Linked DNA regions of Saccharomyces cerevisiae S288C. The gene in region 1 interacts genetically with each later gene. Each region holds a gene or a part of one and is shown on either strand. Other genes may lie near its edges. The genes, in order: YFH7, FIT2, MLG1 and AAD10.

Evidence for each region.
Region 2: mutations in YFH7 (region 1) and FIT2 together harm fitness more than expected from each alone (negative genetic interaction), as found in Saccharomyces cerevisiae (one large-scale study listed by BioGRID).
Region 3: mutations in YFH7 (region 1) and MLG1 together harm fitness less than expected from each alone (positive genetic interaction), as found in Saccharomyces cerevisiae (one large-scale study listed by BioGRID).
Region 4: mutations in YFH7 (region 1) and AAD10 together harm fitness more than expected from each alone (negative genetic interaction), as found in Saccharomyces cerevisiae (one large-scale study listed by BioGRID).

Annotation. Positions count from the first base shown.
Region 1 is NC_001138.5:156,245-161,838, forward strand, and holds YFH7 (Yfh7p), read left to right. Parts: upstream 1-3,054; coding exon 3,055-4,116; downstream 4,117-5,594. Other genes in the region: YFR006W (putative Xaa-Pro dipeptidase), read left to right, coding at 1-1,508; FAR7 (Far7p), read left to right, coding at 4,291-4,956. UniProt on the Saccharomyces cerevisiae protein: ATP-dependent kinase that could be involved in endoplasmic reticulum membrane assembly.
Region 2 is NC_001147.6:1,056,758-1,061,932, reverse strand, and holds FIT2 (Fit2p), read right to left. Parts: upstream 2,403-5,175; coding exon 1,941-2,402; downstream 1-1,940. Other genes in the region: FRE5 (putative ferric-chelate reductase), read right to left, coding at 1-369; FIT3 (Fit3p), read left to right, coding at 878-1,492; YOR381W-A (uncharacterized protein), read right to left, coding at 3,343-3,510; FRE3 (ferric-chelate reductase), read right to left, coding at 4,253-5,175. UniProt on the Saccharomyces cerevisiae protein: Involved in the uptake of non-siderophore and siderophore sources of iron. Has a role in the retention of iron in the cell wall and periplasmic space.
Region 3 is NC_001136.10:479,734-485,508, reverse strand, and holds MLG1 (putative acyltransferase), read left to right. Parts: upstream 1-1,648; coding exon 1,649-2,839; downstream 2,840-5,775. Other genes in the region: GCV1 (glycine decarboxylase subunit T), read left to right, coding at 144-1,346; inositol polyphosphate kinase KCS1, read left to right, coding at 3,242-5,775.
Region 4 is NC_001142.9:722,990-728,771, reverse strand, and holds AAD10 (putative aryl-alcohol dehydrogenase), read right to left. Parts: upstream 1,368-5,782; coding exon 501-1,367; downstream 1-500. Other genes in the region: THI11 (4-amino-5-hydroxymethyl-2-methylpyrimidine phosphate synthase), read left to right, coding at 1-198; YJR154W (uncharacterized protein), read right to left, coding at 1,948-2,988; PGU1 (endo-polygalacturonase), read right to left, coding at 4,872-5,782.

The DNA.
Region 1 (5,594 bases):
GAATTTTACAGCCAGAGTACAAAGATAAGTATTATTACAGTAAAGAAAAAGGGGAAGAAATGGGCGAGGTAGCAAACGTAAATGAAATTCCGGTCAAGATAAGAAATCATAAGTATCCTGCGAAAGAACATAACTTGAGGGTTAAAGATTTGTTGTTAAATCGCAATCCGAAGCTATCAAAGATATCCACAGCATTTTTTATTGCTGGTGAAGAATTAGAGGGAAACAAGTATTGTGACACCAACAAAGATTTTAGACAGAATAGATATTTTTATCATTTGTCAGGTGTTGATATACCTGCTTCGGCGATATTGTTTAACTGTAGCACAGATAAGCTGACATTGTTTTTGCCAAACATCGATGAAGAAGATGTCATATGGAGCGGTATGCCTTTGAGTTTGGATGAGGCAATGAGAGTGTTTGACATTGATGAGGCCTTGTACATATCTGATCTGGGGAAAAAATTTAAAGAATTGCAAGACTTCGCTATCTTTACAACCGATTTGGACAATGTTCATGACGAGAATATTGCAAGATCACTAATTCCTTCAGACCCTAACTTCTTTTATGCTATGGATGAAACTAGAGCAATTAAGGATTGGTATGAAATTGAAAGCATCAGAAAAGCTTGTCAGATTTCAGACAAGAGCCATTTGGCCGTTATGTCCGCGTTGCCCATCGAACTGAACGAGTTACAAATACAAGCTGAATTTGAATACCATGCAACCCGTCAAGGTGGTCGTTCTTTGGGCTATGACCCCATTTGTTGTTCTGGACCGGCATGTGGCACTTTACATTACGTCAAGAATTCAGAAGATATCAAAGGTAAACATTCCATCTTAATTGATGCAGGTGCAGAATGGAGACAATATACAAGTGATATCACCAGATGTTTCCCAACTTCAGGCAAGTTTACTGCGGAACATCGTGAAGTTTACGAAACCGTTCTTGACATGCAAAACCAAGCAATGGAAAGGATTAAACCTGGTGCTAAATGGGACGATTTACATGCACTGACACACAAGGTTCTTATTAAACATTTCTTAAGTATGGGTATTTTCAAGAAAGAGTTTTCTGAGGACGAAATCTTTAAAAGAAGAGCTTCTTGCGCTTTTTATCCCCATGGACTAGGGCATATGTTGGGGCTTGATGTACACGACGTTGGTGGTAATCCAAACTATGACGACCCAGATCCAATGTTTAGATATTTAAGAATCCGCCGTCCTTTGAAAGAAAATATGGTTATCACTAATGAACCAGGTTGCTACTTTAATCAATTTTTGATCAAAGAATTTTTGGAAAAGCACCCCGAAAGATTGGAAGTTGTCGATATGAGCGTATTGAAAAGATACATGTATGTCGGTGGTGTTAGAATTGAAGATGATATCCTTGTTACCAAAGATGGTTACGAGAACTTAACTGGTATTACTTCTGACCCTGATGAAATTGAAAAAATCGTTCAAAAAGGTTTGAAGAAACCCCGTTCAGGTTTCCACGTAATCGTTTAGGTATTAACTTTTTTTTACTCGCTTCTAGAAGTTTAGTATATTCTTTTGTACACAGAATTGTATATTTTTTTTATAATCTTGGATTCACCATTTAACTAGATTTGGAAATATAAGGAATGGCACTGAAAAAATTAAGGACCAACCCCGAAGAGCAAAAAATGAATGCGAATTCTGTGGATCGAACACAGGACCTCCAGATAACTTGACCGAAGTTTTTTCTTCAGTCTGGCGCTCTCCCAACTGAGCTAAATCCGCTTCTATTTATGAAAAATTCATTGTTACAGGAACTATAGGACTATAATAACTAGCTGCTAACACCTTTAAATGTGACTTTTCTCATAAGGAAATCTAGCGATTCAGAATTCGAGAATTTTGCAGATTGCAAAGTTTTCTTTTTACCATAATATTTGAGAATGTTGTAAAACTTGAGATAATTATTCGGATGTCATTGTTGATTGAAGATAGCATTCCTATGAGTCGCCCTCGAGGACTTGGATCGAAAAATCTACATAATATTAGTAATTACTATTATTGTTGGAATTGGATAAACCGTCGTCCACCTATTTGAGAAATAGGTAATTATTATATGAGTTATTTGGTTCCTTTTTGTTAAAGTAATAATTTGAAATGCCATCCATTTGGTAATATTCATGTTATTGGCATATTATCATATGCGGTTCAGGAAGATGACATAAAAGTTGAGAAACAGTTATCAACCCTAATGGAAGCTGAAATGCAAGATTGATAATGTAATAGCATAATGAAACATATAAAACGGAATGGGGAATAATCGTAATATTATTATGTAGAACTACCGATTCCATTTTGAGGATTCCTACATCCTCGAGGAGACTTCTAGCATATTCTGTGTACATAATATTATGGTCTTGATCAACAATGCAATCCCAACAGTTATCAAATTATTCAGAAAATTGATCACATTTTCGATAAATCTATTATGAAAGTAAAATTTTGACTCATACCTAAGTTCTCGTTATTCGTTAATCTTATGAACTCATTAACCTTGGCGTTTCAGCATCCGCTATGATTACTAGTGCTTAAACCTTGTTATTCATGCCTCATAATTGATGCCATCTTCTAACCTCGAGCGTGATAAAATTTTTGTAATATGAACACCAATCGGCGGAAGATCATCCCAAAGCCACATATGATGGTGCCTTATAACATTAATAACAACTTCAACTGCTGCATACCGATAATATCTTGACGATTATGCATTCGTGTCCTGATAGCTAATGCCATGAAACAATTCTTTTCAATCGCACTTGCACCTTCGTGAAATAGAAGGGTTATCTGGGCTTATCAGACTTGTCCACAGTTTACATATAATTTTTTTTCTGTATTAAATTTTGTGAGCTTTCTTTTTACTCAAACGAACTGTGTTATTTTTCGTTCATTAAATGCGTACCTTTAAGCATCATCAAGTATTGCTCTTCGGGAAAAATGAAGTAACCTTGTTAGGTTAATTTCACTAGTACTATACATATTTTATCCTGTATCATACCAGAGGATCATTCTAGCCACAATGGTCGATACGCATAAACTAGCAGACGACGTTCTTCAGCTATTGGATAACCGTATCGAAGATAATTATAGGGTTTGTGTTATCCTAGTCGGTTCTCCAGGCTCCGGTAAGTCTACTATTGCGGAAGAACTTTGTCAAATTATAAATGAAAAATATCACACATTTTTGTCAGAGCATCCAAATGTTATTGAGGTTAATGATAGGTTGAAACCTATGGTTAACCTAGTAGACTCTTTAAAGACGCTCCAGCCCAATAAAGTAGCTGAAATGATTGAAAATCAGGGGCTGTTTAAAGATCATGTTGAGGATGTTAATTTTCAACCAGTCAAGTACTCAGCCCTTACATCAAATAATGAAGAATGTACCGCAGTAGTTGCCAGAGGTGGTACTGCGAATGCCATAAGAATCGCAGCAGTTGATAATCCAGTCAATGTTAACAAGTTGGCCCAGGATAGTATCAATATAGCGCAAATAGTCCCAATGGATGGTTTTCACTTATCTCGCAGATGTCTAGACCTATTCAAAGACCCACAAACTGCCCATAAAAGAAGAGGTTCGCCCTCAACGTTTGACAGTAACAATTTCTTACAATTGTGTAAAATTCTAGCCAAGACGTCCCTATGTAAGGTCTCCTCACATCATAAATTTTACTCCACTTCAAGCGTTTTTGAGAAGTTATCCAAAACTTTTAGCCAAACAATTCCTGATATCTTTGTTCCAGGATTTAACCATGCACTAAAAGACCCAACTCCAGATCAGTACTGTATTTCCAAATTTACAAGGATAGTTATACTTGAAGGGTTATACCTACTGTATGACCAAGAAAACTGGAAGAAAATTTACAAAACATTAGCTGATACGGGAGCACTTCTTGTTTATAAGATTGACATAGACTATGAGGCCACCGAAGAAAGGGTGGCCAAAAGGCATTTGCAATCAGGGTTAGTCACGACTATTGCAGAAGGACGAGAGAAGTTTCGCAGCAATGATTTGTTGAATGGCAGGGATATAGATAATCATTTAATTAAGGTAGATAATATCGTCCATATCCGCAACGACTAGAAGGTTAGGCGGAACCTTGTATATATTTTTGTAAAATCGAACTGAATACAGATAATTAAGGCGCGCAAGCAAAAACGGCATTCTTTATGAACTCTGCAGAGGTGCCCTTTATTACGACATATATGGGAAGTAATACATATTGATTCTACAAGAAGTTCAAGCCAAGGTTTAGATATGAGTGACCAAATCAACGTTTTGTCAATGCAACAACAACAACAGCAGCAGCAGCAGCAGCAGCAAGTATATATGTCTCCTCAAGCAGAAAACTTGAATCATATGTACTTGTTAGTTAACAAGCTAGTGAAACAGTTGAGGGAAAATCAAGCAGAAAAGGCGAAAATACTAAGGAACATAGACATATTATCCGGAAGCTTAAACAAGTATGAGACATCTGAAGAACCTCACGATACCACGGAAAATATTGCATTATTTAATAGATTTCTAGAACAAAGAGGGAAAGCTCCTATTACTGAGAAAGAGCAACTAAGCAACAATCTGGATGAAAATGCGAAAGATGACGTTATGCTAGGAGTGTTGAAGCGCCAAAATTCAATGCTCCGGAAAAGTTTACAGGAATCCAAGCAGGTAACCCTTGAATCCATGGATTTATTGTCTTACTCCGAAGACTCTTTAAATTACATTGTCGCCCAATTAAGAGGAAACATTCTAATGCATCATAAAGAGACTATCAAATTGATTAGGCAGAAATTCCAGACGGAGACAATTCCCCTCGAAGATGAAGAGTTCAAGATGTATTTGGAAAATGTTAATGGTCTGCAAAAATTGACAGATATATCTCACACTTATAGATTACTACTGAGGTTACATGCACAAGATTGAAACTTTGCCCTTTTGCTTCCAATGAAAGCAAGATGACAAATATACATGCTTCTTATATTCGAGATTGCGCAAAAATTCGAAGCTCATTTATGAAGGCTTTTTCCATTCTGATATATGTTTATGAAATTGAAAAAGTAACGACGGTGGAACATTTTGCGGGAAAACAACTCACAGAATGTCTTGACGTTCTTTTCCTGCAGTTGCGTGCGTAAGATATCCTAAGCTACTGTATTATTTGCCAAAAATAATAAAATGTTGGAGGAAAGCCTCTATAAATACACAGGATATATATGTTTAATAAACATATATAATTTCCTCAATATTTGCAAAAGCATTTTGTTGTGATGAGAGTCGATTATCGTTTACCGATTAGTATCTATACTATTAATATATTTTCATATAATTAGTATAATCTCATATACGCTGCCAGAAGATAACATGAAAATTAAGAAACAATCATCAGCTTCAATGGAAGTTGAAGTGCAAGGATAAATAATACTATTTAGAAATATGGATTTTCCCTCGTTGACTAGAAGATCTGTGAAGATTGGGTGAATAGTTTAATAATTATTGGATCCCATTATTGATCAAGGCTATAATACTTGACTATTTGGCGAATTTTGAGATAATTGTTGGGA
Region 2 (5,175 bases), on another chromosome or scaffold:
CCGGATGAAAAGGGATGCATTGGCAAAAATTCGATAATACTCCTCATTGCTGACGACCTCATCTTTGTGATAATCGTGGCAATACTGATTAATTTTGCTAAACGTTTTTTCGAATATTTTTTTACTTTTCTTCCTACTGTCGAGAACATCCTTCGCGCAATGTAACCAAGACCCTAGTGCTGGTTCATAAGTGCAAAGAGTAGCGTGCCGACCCTTCACATCCGTGTCAAATTTGTGTGATTCCAATTCTTTAGCACAAGCATCAATTGCTATCTGGTCCCATTGCGTTCTTTTCTTAGTTGATGCTGGTTTTGCTAAAGAACCTGGTGCCAAATACACCAACAGCAGCACTAATCTAGCGAAAAGCATTCGAAATCTGGGTGAATTAAATTAACTGCGACAAAATTGGTGATGTGACATACCGAAAACGCTACATTACACATTTGCCAAGTAAAAAATTGACGCTCCTTTTTTAATGATCGCTAATGTAATGAAAAGTAAAAATCCAATTAAACGAGGAAGCGGTAAAATATGATTGCTGTGTAGTAATGCCACAGTCTTCTTAGTCCTACCTATGTCCTAGATTTTTTTTTGCACCCTGTTTGTTCCGCACCCCGCTATCCCATATTTTTTGATGTATGTGAAGGAAAGCAATCTAAGGGCTCAAGAGCCGAGTTCCGCCATTCTAGGAAAGGGTGCAAAAAAATGGGGTTCAATTATCGTTCGAGATTTGTTATTTTTTTTTTTGTAAAAGTTGATTTATGGGGTATTTAAGCCAAGAACTATTTGAAGTATTAGGAGGTAATATGAATGTTCGAACAGATACAAACAAGTACTTCCACTCGCTTAAAAATAACTAATAACAATAATCCCTAAAATGAAATTCTCTTCCGCTTTGGTTCTATCTGCTGTTGCCGCTACTGCTCTTGCTGAGAGTATCACCACCACCATCACTGCCACCAAGAACGGTCATGTCTACACTAAGACTGTCACCCAAGATGCTACTTTTGTTTGGGGTGGTGAAGACTCTTACGCCAGCAGCACTTCTGCCGCTGAATCTTCTGCCGCCGAAACTTCTGCCGCCGAAACCTCTGCTGCCGCTACCACTTCTGCTGCCGCTACCACTTCTGCTGCTGAGACTTCTTCTGCTGCTGAGACTTCTTCTGCTGATGAAGGTTCTGGTTCTAGTATCACTACCACTATCACTGCCACCAAGAACGGTCACGTCTACACTAAGACTGTCACCCAAGATGCTACTTTTGTCTGGACTGGTGAAGGCAGCAGCAACACCTGGTCTCCAAGTAGTACTTCTACCAGCTCAGAAGCTGCTACCTCTTCTGCTTCAACCACTGCAACCACCACTGCTGAAACTTCTTCCTCTGCTACATCCTCTAGCACCGCTGAATTATCTAGTTACACCGGTGCTGCTGATGCCATCACCGCTGGTACTGGTTTGATGGGTGCTGCCCTTGCTGCCGTCATGTTATTGTAAATGATATGTGAATAATCATGCGGGATATCCGATTTTTATGAAGCACCTTGCGGCTTGGCCTTTTTTCGAAGTTATGTTAGAATAAAAAAATTTTAATAACACACATTAAGTATGTATGTATATATACTGTTTCAAGTTCGTTGGTCTTCCTTTAATTGTTTGAAACGGTTAAAAGTATCTAATTAAAATAAATATACCCGAAATCATACTAAAAAAATAGTTAATATTAATAAAAGTAATGATAATAATAATAATAACAATAATAATAATACGATGATGATGATGAAACGAAAAACTGCTACATTGAAGTCACTGAGAAACGTAATGAAAAAAAGTCCTTTTTACTAGCCTTTTGAAGGAGAAAGACAATTATATTAGCTTTTCATAGATAAGTTATAAATATGCTATACACGATAACTAATAGCTTTTTTCTGGTTTGAAACCGAGCTTATAATAGGTAAGAAATCAAACCAAGGGCCAATGCACCGACACTTGCTCCTTGGAATGCAGCAGGAGCAGCACCAGAAGAAGAGGCAGAAGAGGAGGAGGAGGATGAGGAGGATGAGGAGGATGTAGATGATTCGACGGCTTGAGTGACGGTCTTGGTGTAAAGGTTGGTTGATGAACCTGAACCGTTTGTCAAAGTAAGTGTCTTTGTTGTACTCTTTTCAGAGGTGGTATCTGGTCCTTCGGTGACAACCTTTGTGTAAGTAGCATCACTATTACTGACAACGACAGTTCTAGTGGTACTGTAACTAATGATAGGGTCAGCGGTGTCGGTAACGACCTTAGTGTAAACGTTATTACCGTTAGTAGCAGTAATAGTCTTAGTGGTCATTACACTCGACACAGCTGCTGCCGAGACGGCAGTCATAACTGTAGTAGCTCCGAAAATAGTTGAGAATTTCATTATTATTGTTTTGTGATGGCTTTATGATAGACTTTTTTACAAGGACCGTAAAATTCTGCCTGAAGCACGCACACATTCCTGTTTTATACATATATTGCTAGGTAATATAAAATGCTAATTATACTGCACCCAGTTAGATTCGTATACATCTTATCCGAACTCGATTACAAATTATACAAGTGATCCAATTGGGTGAACCTCGAAACAGTTCTCTGTTCAAGGGTCCGCTGCGGGGCGAGGGGGGGTGCATTTGAACTTAGGGTGCATTGTTTTAAATCCTATACAGGATATGAACTTAGTTAGTTCAATGATCGCTTGATAAATTGCACCCTGCTCTTGAGGGTCATTCTAAGTAATGAAATTTTGGGTGTTTTTGTTTGCCGTCCTCGTTCAATTCGCTTCCGCCGTTCTGGAAGCCCCGTTAACTTCCGTTCCCGCATTCCGATCGCTGTAGGGCTTGGCGTCAGTAGCACCCAGATATTTCACTGTAGGAGCTTACTTCACTCATTTCAATTGGTATACAGAAATCTATGAAATGTAGTTAAAGGCATCACTAATCCGCATCCGCGATACCCGCAACATATACGGAATGTCTATGTAAAAATGTCTCCTGTGACTTTCATTAATCGAATCTTTCTATAAAAAAAAAAATGAGCAAATCACAGTACACCCACTACTCGCATCATCAACGTTGAGTCAGTAGCAAAGTCTCCAGTTATGGTGCCCTCTGGTCCAATTGTAGTAAATTCGTTTGCACGGATGAAAAATAGCTCATGAATGTTCTTGTGTATTTGAATACCATTATGTGCGCGGCTCATACGGATTTAAGTGTGATCTTCCCCTCCGTATTCCCTGTCAATAACTCAAAGTTTTCCCATTTCGGTTTGAAGTTCTTCACAAGGGAGTTTCTTGGCGCAAAGGCATGATGATCGCATTTGCCTCAGTATATTTCGTCATTTCGGTACTGAGAAACGAAATTATTTTGCCTGTTGTCTTGCGTTTTGGCAACCCTTAAGAATTCATCTAATATGTTGGTCCTTAAAGATAAGCGCTTTTGCTTGTAAAATTCTGATTTTTTGTCTTGTGATGGTAATGCTACATTGAACATCAATGCGTATCTGATTTTAAAAAAAAAATTAGAAGTGTGTATAAAATGAAGGTATTATCAGTTGAGCAAATATTACATGTGCTCTTCAAAAGTACCTGCTTTTCATTTAGTGACTATCAGGATGATAACGCCGCTCGTCTTATTTTTAACTGTCGTTTTCTGATAAATGTGTTGAAAACGTGCTAAACAACAATTACCTGTTCTCAAGAGCCTTGAGCCTGGATTGAGAGCAAAAAATCTCTCTTTCATTTTATACAGAATTCGGAAAGAAGATGGATATTTCATGAAAATCTGTTGGTAAAAAGTGGATAAAAATTTTGTATTATTAGTATGTTCTTAGTGGTTAGGTGATAACGAAGCGAGAAAAGCAGGGCAAATGGAATAGAATAGCGTGTAGTTGTTAAAATTTTATTTCACTGAGGCTTATATGCTTACTGAGAAATTTTTTTTTTTTACAAAAAACTTCTTTTTATGTTATACCAGCTGTGGATTACCACAACAATTGGAAAGAACATCAATCCAGAAAAAAAATTCAGTTAATTTGGAGGAAGAGAAATTTAAGTCATGGAACAAGAGTGGGAGACAGTTAAAAAATGCTTCCAAAGATTAGTAGATTGAAAAAGTTTGTGAAAGTCGATCAATTGTCTTCATTGCAGCTAGACATAAATTATGTTTCAGGTCAAAACAATTAAATATATACTTGTGATAGGTAAAATAGTGAGGAAATAAATAAGGTAATTGATTACCAACTTTGGTATTCTTCAAAGTATTCGATTGCCTTTGCAGGCTTCTCTAGAACAAGATTTGCCGTTTGATCCCTTACTTCGTCAACGAAAACAGGAGGCCCACAACAAACCACAGCTAACGATCCATTTAGGTCACCAACTTCATGCAGAAGCTTTTCAACATTGGGTCTTCCATGATGAAAAACAGTACCATCAAATTCAACTGGATTAGGTGACTGTTCTAGGGTAGTTGCCATAACAACACCTTTTCCATCGGCCTTCTCGTCTTGTTGAGAAATTTCCAAACTATCATTAGGAGTTAATGCCGGAACTTCCATTGTATTGTAGATGTGAAGCTGTACATTAAGATCTTCTAGACACATCAGCTCCGGCTTGTAAGCCTCGAGTACGTTAAACCCTCTAACTGCAATCACTAATTTTATGAATTGTTTTCCAGTTGCCGCTGACGTTTTTCCAAGTTTAATGGCGTGTGCAATGGGCCCTGGCAAACCAGTACCTCCCGTAAGTAGCAAGACGTTATCATAATTATTGACTGGAGATGAAGAGCCATATGGACCTTCTATAGCTAGTCTCATAGATGCCTTACCTCCATTGCAACACACATACTTTTTGACAAGTTTTGTTACTCCCTTTTTTTCCTTCAGGATAATAGTCAGCTCACCATCTTTGATAATTGAATCTAAGACTGTGAAAGGATGTGACTGCCAAAAATACAGGTGGTGTAGGAATGAAACGAAAACATACTGTCCTGGTTTGGCTTTCCATAGCCTTACTGGTCGTTTGACTGTGACTCGAATGATGTCATCGCCAACTAACTGTAAGGAAGCCTTAGGGAAACCGAAATAAGATACTCTAACAATTCGAATTAGCCTATCAATAGTCCAGATAGCAATAGCAGCGTATATCCACTCAATCCCAC
Region 3 (5,775 bases), on another chromosome or scaffold:
TGACTCGTGTTGCCTCGAGTAAACGGTATGTCAAAAAGAATAGGTCCAAATATCATATATATAGCACCTTGAACCCAAACAAATCCAATTACAGTACCCGTAGCTCACATATGTAGAAAGAGCTTTGCCTGGCACAAGCAATAATGTCTATAATCAAAAAAATTGTGTTTAAGAGATTCAACTCAACTTTGAAAAAAACTGCTCTTCATGACCTTCATGTGTCATTAGGCGGTACAATGGTACCATACGCAGGATATTCCATGCCCGTACTATACAAGGGACAGACTCATATTGAATCACATAATTGGACCAGGACAAACGCTGGTTTATTTGATGTTTCTCATATGTTACAAAGTAAGTTATCTGGTCCTCATTCTGTTAAGTTTCTGCAACGTGTAACGCCCACAGATTTCAATGCCTTGCCTGTTGGGTCAGGGACCTTAAGTGTTCTATTAAATCCACAGGGAGGCGTGGTAGACGATACCATCATCACTAAAGAAAACGATGACAATGAGTTCTATATTGTGACCAATGCTGGCTGTGCGGAAAGAGACACCGAGTTCTTTCACGATGAGCTACAAAATGGTTCTACTTTAGATTGTCAATGGAAAATCATTGAAGGTAGATCACTATTGGCATTGCAGGGTCCTAAAGCAAAAGATGTGTTGGAACCACTTTTATCAAAAACAGCTCCTGGAAAGGATCTAAAAGAGTTATTTTTTGGACAAAGACATGAATTTGCGTTAAAGGACGGTTCTTTGGTTCAAATTGCTAGAGGCGGGTACACTGGTGAAGATGGATTTGAGATAAGCATTGCAAATGAGAAAGCGGTTGAGTTTGCGGAGCAACTCTTGGCCAATCCAGTAATGAAGCCTATCGGACTGGCTGCTAGAGACAGTTTAAGGTTGGAAGCTGGTATGTGTTTGTATGGTCATGAATTGGACGAAAGTATCACACCAGTAGAAGCTGCGTTAAACTGGGTGATTTCAAAGTCAAGAAGGGACCTAGTAGATCAAAAGTACTGGTTCAATGGCTATGCCAAGATAATGGACCAGCTAAACAATAAAACGTATAGCAAGGTACGAGTCGGATTCAAATACTTGAAAAAGGGGCCAGCTGCCAGAAATGGTGTCAAGATCTTCTTGCCCGATGCCGAAACAGAGGTCGGCCTTGTTACATCAGGTAGTGCATCTCCAACTTTAAACAACATCAATATTGGACAAGCTTATGTACAGAAAGGTTACCACAAGAAGGGAACGAAGTTGCTTGTTCAAGTAAGGAACAAGTTCTACCCGATTGAACTTGCTAAAATGCCTCTTGTGCCCACACATTACTACAAGCAGTAAACTGAGCGAAATAATATTCAGTTGATAATGCGTTTATTAAGAAAAGAAAAAGAGTAAAAAAATAATTTGCTATTTTGATCTAGTAAAGACAAATACAAAGATGCTTACGCTCAATTCCTTTATTTTTTTATATTTATGTAGCTTTTTGTATATTCTTAAGGACTTGTTTGATCTTTTACCCCTTCGCGTGGAGATAGGCTGCGCGGTTACTTTTATTAGAACGTACCCCAGATCTGTCCGTCGAAGGTTAAAGAAATGAACAAACAACCCTACGTACGACTGTGTTTTGCAGTTTAAGAAGGATGAAGCATTCCCAAAAATACCGTAGGTATGGAATTTATGAAAAGACTGGTAATCCCTTTATAAAAGGGTTGCAAAGGCTGCTTATCGCTTGCTTGTTCATTTCAGGCTCGCTGAGTATTGTCGTTTTTCAGATCTGTCTACAGGTGCTTCTCCCTTGGAGCAAGATTAGATTTCAAAATGGTATAAATCAAAGTAAGAAGGCTTTTATCGTTTTATTATGCATGATCTTGAACATGGTGGCTCCCTCTTCTTTGAATGTCACTTTTGAAACATCGCGGCCATTGAAGAACTCTTCTAACGCCAAGCCATGCTTTAGATTTAAAGACAGGGCTATAATAATTGCAAATCATCAAATGTATGCAGACTGGATTTATCTCTGGTGGCTTTCCTTTGTTTCAAATTTGGGTGGTAACGTTTATATCATCCTGAAGAAAGCTCTGCAGTACATACCATTACTGGGATTTGGCATGCGAAATTTTAAGTTTATATTTTTAAGTAGGAACTGGCAAAAGGATGAGAAAGCTTTAACAAATAGTTTGGTTTCTATGGACTTAAACGCGAGGTGCAAGGGGCCCCTTACAAATTATAAGAGTTGTTATTCCAAGACAAATGAATCCATTGCCGCTTATAATTTAATCATGTTCCCTGAGGGTACAAATCTAAGCCTCAAGACAAGAGAAAAAAGCGAGGCATTCTGTCAAAGAGCACATTTGGACCATGTCCAATTAAGACATTTGTTATTACCGCACTCTAAAGGCTTGAAGTTTGCAGTAGAAAAACTAGCTCCTAGTTTAGATGCTATCTACGATGTCACTATTGGATATTCTCCCGCCTTGAGAACGGAATACGTCGGCACCAAATTCACCTTGAAGAAAATATTCTTAATGGGTGTCTATCCGGAGAAAGTAGATTTTTATATTAGGGAATTTAGAGTTAATGAGATCCCTTTGCAAGATGACGAAGTTTTTTTCAATTGGTTACTGGGCGTGTGGAAAGAAAAAGATCAACTGCTAGAAGACTACTACAACACAGGCCAATTTAAAAGTAATGCTAAAAATGACAACCAATCCATCGTTGTTACGACACAAACGACTGGATTTCAGCACGAAACATTGACACCCCGTATCCTTTCATATTACGGGTTCTTCGCTTTTCTTATTCTTGTATTTGTGATGAAAAAAAATCATTGATTTAACCTTAAACCAAACATAATTAAACCTGTATTTCATATATTATTTCCACTTAGCTTAGCCATCCACAACGGTAAAGTTACAAATATATAAGTAATAGTTGCTTTCATAAAAATTATTAACACTTCTTTCGAACTCATCGCAGAAGTGTCGCCGGCCCCTCAACTTCGCGCCGTATCGCTTTTTTTTTTTTTTTTCAATACAGGATCAAGACGAAAAACACTTTTCTGTTCTTGTTTGTCTCTGTTGGTTGGATTATATCTCCAACAAAAGGGAAAATCCCAGTTTGACCTTATTATATTAGAATTGTCTTTTGTCTTCTTTCTTTCATTTTGTACATCTTTCTGTCTTCTCAAATCTTTTTTTTATTTTTTGTATATATAAAACTAAAGCTAAAAGACTATGGATACCTCTCACGAAATTCATGATAAAATACCCGATACATTAAGAGAGCAGCAGCAGCATTTGCGCCAAAAAGAGTCGGAAGGGTGCATAACAACATTGAAAGATCTTAATGTACCTGAGACGAAGAAACTTTCCTCCGTCTTACATGGCAGAAAGGCGAGTACATATTTAAGAATTTTTAGAGATGATGAATGTTTAGCCGATAACAACAATGGTGTAGATAGCAATAATGGCGGGTCCGTGACATGCGCGGACAAAATAACAAGGTCAGAAGCAACTCCCAAATCGGTACCAGAAGGACTACAAGTTTCTGAAAAAAAGAATAACCCAGATACTTTGTCCTCTTCATTGTCAAGTTTCATTTTATCTAACCACGAGGAGCCGGCAATTAAGCCCAATAAACACGTGGCGCATAGAAATAATATTACTGAGACAGGTCAAGGCTCTGGTGAGGATATCGCAAAACAACAATCACACCAACCACAGGTGTTACACCACCAGACTTCTTTAAAGCCAATTCAGAATGTTGATGAGGGATGTATTTCGCCTAAGTCCACTTATCAGGAGAGCTTACATGGAATATCGGAGGACTTAACGTTAAAGCCTGTTTCTTCTGCAACATACTATCCTCACAAAAGTAAAGCAGATTCTGGTTATGAAGAAAAGGATAAAATGGAAAATGATATTGATACTATTCAGCCTGCCACCATAAATTGTGCCTCTGGTATAGCGACACTTCCTAGTTCATATAACCGACATACTTTCAAAGTTAAGACATATTCAACTTTATCACAATCCCTAAGGCAAGAAAACGTCAACAATCGTAGTAACGAAAAAAAACCTCAACAGTTTGTGCCACATAGCGAATCAATTAAAGAAAAACCCAATACGTTTGAACAAGATAAAGAAGGCGAGCAAGCGGACGAAGAAGAGGATGAAGGTGATAATGAACATAGGGAATATCCCCTAGCAGTTGAACTAAAACCATTTACGAATAGAGTTGGAGGTCACACTGCAATATTCAGATTTTCGAAGAGAGCGGTTTGTAAGGCTCTAGTGAATAGAGAAAACAGGTGGTATGAGAATATAGAGCTGTGCCATAAAGAATTATTGCAATTCATGCCACGTTATATTGGTGTCCTGAATGTTAGGCAACATTTTCAGTCAAAAGATGACTTTTTAAGCGATTTGGATCAAGAAAACAACGGTAAAAATGATACCAGTAATGAAAACAAAGACATAGAAGTCAATCATAACAATAACGACGATATTGCGCTTAATACAGAACCCACGGGGACCCCCTTAACACACATACATTCCTTCCCCTTGGAACATTCGTCGAGACAAGTACTTGAAAAAGAGCATCCTGAAATTGAGTCTGTCCATCCACACGTGAAAAGATCACTGTCAAGTTCCAACCAACCTTCCTTGTTGCCCGAGGTTGTATTAAATGATAACAGGCATATTATACCGGAATCTCTGTGGTACAAATATTCCGATTCTCCAAACTCGGCACCGAATGATTCGTACTTTTCGTCCTCCTCTTCTCATAACTCATGTTCGTTCGGTGAGCGTGGCAATACAAATAAATTAAAAAGACGCGATTCTGGGTCCACCATGATCAATACTGAATTGAAGAACCTAGTCATAAGGGAAGTATTTGCACCGAAATGTTTTAGAAGGAAAAGAAACTCTAATACGACTACAATGGGAAACCATAATGCGCGTTTGGGTTCCAGTCCATCTTTTTTAACACAAAAATCAAGAGCCTCGTCCCATGATGCATCGAATACGTCTATGAAGACTCTTGGTGATTCATCGTCACAAGCGAGTTTACAGATGGATGACTCGAAAGTCAATCCGAATTTGCAGGATCCTTTCTTGAAAAAATCGCTTCATGAAAAAATATCTAATGCTTTAGATGGCTCGCATTCAGTAATGGATTTGAAGCAATTCCACAAAAACGAACAAATAAAACATAAAAACTCTTTCTGCAACTCTTTATCACCCATTCTCACTGCAACCAATTCTAGAGATGATGGCGAATTTGCCACCTCCCCGAATTATATCAGCAACGCACAAGATGGTGTTTTTGATATGGATGAAGATACGGGAAACGAAACTATAAATATGGATAACCACGGCTGCCATCTTGACTCTGGTAAAAACATGATTATAAAGTCATTGGCGTATAATGTTTCAAATGACTATAGTCATCATGATATTGAATCAATTACGTTTGAGGAGACGTCCCACACCATTGTTTCAAAATTTATCTTATTGGAAGATTTGACAAGAAACATGAACAAGCCTTGTGCACTGGATCTAAAGATGGGGACAAGACAATATGGCGTAGACGCCAAAAGAGCCAAGCAACTGTCACAGCGTGCAAAGTGTTTAAAGACCACTTCTAGGCGTTTAGGCGTTAGAATCTGCGGATTAAAGGTTTGGAACAAAGATTATTATATCACAAGAGATAAATACTTTGGTAGAAGGGTTAAGGTTGGTTGGCAATTTGCTAGGGTACTTGC
Region 4 (5,782 bases), on another chromosome or scaffold:
TGGAAGAAGGTTACCGGTTACGGTAAGAGATTAGCCATTCTGCCACCAGACTATGTCTCGAACTACACTAATGAATACTTGTCCTGGCCAGAACCAGAAGAGGTTTCTGATCCTTTGGAAGCTCAAAGATTGATGGCTATTCATCAAGAAAAATGCAGACAGGAAGGTACTTTCAAGAGATTGGCTCTTCCAGCTTAAACGTGCTTCGTCACTCGTTCAGCCCAGCCTTCCTCTACGACTTGTTTATGATTTCACATTAGCTGTTGTTTCCTACTCGATATATAGACATACATATTTATGTATCAGAGCATGTATACAAGCTTTAAATGAACTCCCTTTATCTTAACACTTTATTTCCTCGCAAAATCAACACAATAAAAGATGCCTGCAAATGCATGAGCGGCAAAGTTTTCTCTAAGTATTTGAATCATCAAACTGTGTGTGTAAGCGTATATATAAACATTTTTCACATTATGAACATACTAAAACTATTGATTTGACTAATCTTCGAAGCTAATCTTGGCAGACATTTCGGTGAGAAATGAAGGTTTCTTGGTAACAGCTGGGTCATCTCCAATAAAATTAGTGGGAAATCCGACATCAAAAGGAACAATACTTTCTAAGTACTTTATTTGTTCTGGTGTTAATTTAATGCTCAAAGCCTCAATGTTCTGTTTGAGATGTTCGATCTTTCTTCCTCCCACTAATGGGAAAACATGTTTCGCTTTAGACCGAACATAAGCTATGGCAATAGCAGTGACAGACTCAGTGCCATGTTCTTCCGCAACTTTTAACAATGCTTCGCTGATTTTAACCTCCATATCCGTCTGTTCCGAAGTACCAAAAAAGGTACGCAAGCCTTCTCCTTTCTTCTTCCGCTCTTCCACTGCCTTTTTACTCTGAAATCTCCCGCCTCCCATAACATCCCATGGAGCAAGAGCCATACCAAAATGCCTAGCCATTGGAATGATATCACGTTCAAAGTCCCTGTTCAATACATTCCATTTACCTTGATAGATACTAAAGGGAGTTTTACCATGAGATGTGGCGTAGTAATTTGCTGCAGAAACAACCCAGGCAGGAGTATCAGACACACCTAGATAGAGTACTTTGCCCTGCTGCACAAGAATGTGCAAACTATCCATAACTTCCTCAATGGAGCTCATATAATCCCACCAGTGAACGTAAAGAATATCAATCCAATCAGTTTGCAACTTACGAAGGGAATCTCTCACACTTACATGCAAACTGCGCTTGTGATTCCCACAGAAATTGGCACTCTTCCCCTTGCCTACATCATACCCCTTATAATCCGTGGTAAATTTAGTGGCAATTACAATCTGGTCACGCAGTTTTCTTGATGCCATCCATTCACCGATCCAAGTCTCTGACTGCTCATACTAATAATTATTTGCAGTATCAATGAAATTTCCGCCTGCTTGGTAAAAAGCATCAAGTAGCTCAAAAGCTTGTTCTTTGTCCATTGATCCCATGAATCCAGACCAGGCGTCACCAATAGACATACCTCCCAGGATTAGTGGAGAAACTCTTATACCAGCTGTTTTAGATAGGACCCTAAGACGTCCTAACTCGGTAGGTGGTTCAGGTGCAGGTCCAAAAGCCTCAGACATTTCGAAGAGCACATTTTGCGGCGGTGGGTTATGAAGCTATTCAATTAATTAACCAGTCCCCAACCGAAGGTGAGAATCATATTGGGTAATACACCTTATTCCTAGTTGTGCCACTATCCTTTTATATGTTTTAAAATCCCGCTCCCTTAAATTTGTACAAGTGCAAGTAATGAAAGTTGTTCGATTTCGGTACGAAGTTTTCTTACCGGTTCCGTGCGAAAACAGCAGGGAAGTACTAGAATAGGCTTTTGAAGCATGCCACCCAGTCTGCACATTTACAGCGAACTTGTGGTGATATGTTTTCCCGTTACAATGATTATTGCGTGGACCCATAATTCACCCTTATTGTCTCTCCATAGTACCCCTTTTCGATATCATTTTCAAACAAACTAGAACTGATAAGATGTCCTGGACTCTTATAATCTATGTGACCACAAAATGGCTCACTAATTCCGAGCCCCAACAGTTGCAAGGCTTCCAATGGTAAACCCTTAAACACTCGCAAATCAGTCCCTAAGTGAAGATTTTCCTCTGGTTTCAAGTAGCTCTTTGTCATAAAAAAATATCCAGCAACTCTGTCTTGTGACGTACGATTTGCACTGGCTGCATGGTAGAGGCTCCCTAAGAATAGAACTGCGTCTCCCTTTGCAACATTAACGTGAAATTCCATCCTCTTGTCAAAGTTCCCACAGGAATCGTGCGGACCCCACAAATGTGAACCGACTATCATTCGCGTAGAGCCATTTTCTTTATTCATATCTGTAAAAGCTACACCTAACCCTACCATGGTTTCGGTTCCATACTGGAAACGTTCACATGCTTGATGGGTCGTATGATGAACAATATCTTCTCGGTGGTAGCCCTGGTCACTTGCACCAGCGCCAACCTTGTAGACTATACCGGAGTTCAGTTGAATATCACTAGTGCATTTATTAATCACCTTTCCCGCCGCAAAGTAGTTTTCTTCATTCAAAAAATGTTTTGAGATATCACAAAACATACGGTCGCATACCACATCCTTTAAGACTGTAGATGAGTGTAAAACCGATCTCGTTGCCACAGTAGTTTCCTTAGGAAACGGTGAGCCTTGCCATGATTCGTATCTATAAAAATGCGGTTCGATTTCTTTCAATATTTCATCACATCTGGAGGTCTCTATAAAATTCTTGACCACGCAAAGTCCGTATACTTCCATTTTTTCAATAATTGCTTTGTAATCGAACTTGTCTTCGACTGTGAATGCCTTTTGCGTTAAGCCAGGCTGGCATACGCCAAGATCTTCCTTTTTTTTCATATTAATGTATTTTTGGCCACCTATATTGTATGGCTCACTAAGGTTGTGTGAATCTGTGTTCATCGTATGGATTGCGTTTTGAATCTGTCCTGCTTGTACTTTGAGTAGGGGAAATCTCTCGTCTTAAGATCTCATGGATGTGCTTTATATACTTTATTAGTTTTACAGACGCGTCACCTGCTATCAACACATGACCTTAATGTTAGACTCTGATTAATTAAATATTCTATTTCTGTTGAGAATAAATTACTATTACTCCGGGGCAGCAGTACCTTCATTTTGAAGGAAAATGAGACAATCTTGCCTCTTTTCCAACGTAAAATTCTTTAGCAGCCCAATAATGCCTCACTTCGCGTTATGTCACTTATTTTTTTTTTCTTTGAGTCATGTATGGACGACTACTAGCCACACCGGTGCTGAAAATCTATAAAAAACTTTGATTCATAACCCAATTTTGACTATCCTCATTAATTTTAGCAATTTCGCCTGTAGTATGTTCATAACTGCAGAATTCTACGTTATGGCAGTACTTCTTTACGTTGTTTTACCAAAAGGTATTATTTTTCGAGAAGCTTTTCAACCTGCCTAAGTTAGTAAACCCTTTTCGCTTTTTTCAACATTCTATGGCTTTTCCCTAGCACTGACATATCTGTAAGTTGATTGCGTGGGACGTCTAGCGCAGGTTTTGAGAAGTTTCCAACAGGCATATCTAGCTTGATATTATTAGGGGTCTATCTGAATCGCTTATGTAAACAAATATTCAACTAGCTTTTCTGTCACTGCAATCGGTAAAATTTTAAACGGCCGTTTCTGCATGTACGCCAACTCACAGTTAAAGCATTCAAAAATTCAAAGGAATTACTAGTAACGCATATTACAAATTCTTTAAACATAAATACTAAGCTATATTGAGCCAAGAACATTCGTTGAATTTTTTTTCCGCCAGTAATGAAAGATATAGTTCGAACTAGGGTAATTGTACTCACGATGGGAGAAATAATAAAAAAATCAATATCTAAAGTCTGACGTACCGTAAAGTTTTCATCACGAACTATGGCGAAGGTTGATGAGACTCTCTAAAATTATTTTGATTTTTGAAGGACGTTTCCCTAATAATTATTAGGGAAAACAGTGCCTTGTCACAGATGAACTGGAATGTACGAGTTAAGGATACTCATATACAACTGCGAATTATGTAATTACATCTATTTTCAGCTTTTGCTATATATTGCATAATTCGGCAGACTTAGTTTATAACAAGAGGCAAAGTAAATAGCCTTTAAAATTTCAATATTGCAGACAACACAATATCGATAAACATAAAATGGAGAAGGCCTTAAAGATATTTTGGCTTTTTTCTCACTGGCTCGATGGGTAACAATGGTCAAAAAAACAGGGCTATTATTTGAGTCAGCGAAGTTTCACAATTGTGTCATATTGGTAGATGCACTGATATTACCGAAGACTTTGTCATTACTTTCTCATGTACGCTGGATTAACGCTATTGAGGACGGTTTTTTATGTAACTTTTTCAGCCGCAGCGTTTTGTAGGCAGATGAAGTGCGCTCATTCGTTTCAATTGTAGTACTTAGTCGCATTTACCATTTTTTTTACCAATTATTGACCTTCCTGTTTCAGACGATCCCAAGGGTCCAGAATGAAACATAAACTATAGTCTTGAACAGAGATTTTCTTCTCAATTAGGACTTTTAGGCTCTCATTGTTGCTATCCGGATGAGCATAGCGTATCTCTATTATTAAATGGCAAAAAAGATACCAACTTGATACAAATCAACAGTAATAATTAGACCTGAATTTACAAAAAAACCCAGCATAAATTGCCGAACAAATACCAATATTTTCCTGCATCTTTGTTCTGTTATGTATTGAATAGTAAAGAAAAGAAAAGAAGGTATGTATAGTCATATGAGTACTTTAAAAGAGGATTAACAGCTTGCACCAGATCCAGATGGGATTCCAGAACATCCAGAATAGGAAGAACCACCGGTAATTGACACCCCAGACCATTGCCAGTTAGTAGCGTTTTTCACCAAAATTTTAACCCTCTTCGCTGTGGAGTTCACGCTCCCGGTGATATCCTTCATTACTAAATTCGAAATGGGAACGCCACCTGTAGCAGTTCCAGTAGTCTTACTATTCAAATAATCGCCTTCGATAACAATACCATAACTTTTTATGCCGCTAATTTTATTACTGATAAAGTTGACATTAGTGACTGTGCCTGTCGCACCTTCTACGGTTTTTATTCTCAACCCGTTGTCAGAGTTGATAACATGGTTATTTTCAGCCCAGAAACCATTGACTGTATTATCAGAACGGCCACCAACAGAACCTACAGAAATACCATGGCCATTGTAGCAGTAGTTGTTCATAAATTTAATAGTTGAACCGGAATTCACAGCAATACAGTCATCCTGATTATAAACAGTACATCCTTGAATTAAGACGTTACTAGAACTACCAACATCAAACCCATCCGTATTATGACCACCAGCCGAATCACCGTCTCTGATATCAATTGTTATGTCGCTGATGGTTAAATCTGAACATTTATTGATGCTGAAGACTTGGTGTGGAGCATTTTTAATATTCAATCCGGTGACCTTAGATGTTCCCGTCAACGCCAACTTTACAAACTTCGGTTTGACTTTACCGCTATCACCTAAGCCATCCCACCATTTTGCTCCTTGACCATCAATGGTATGTCCCGAAGCACCAACAACGCTGATTTTAGACCCTGAGATTGAAATTAAAGGGCCGCTCCATTCCTTGTACTGAAATGTGGTTGTGCCTTCAAACGTAACAGTAGTACCACTGCTTAACCCAGTTAAATCTA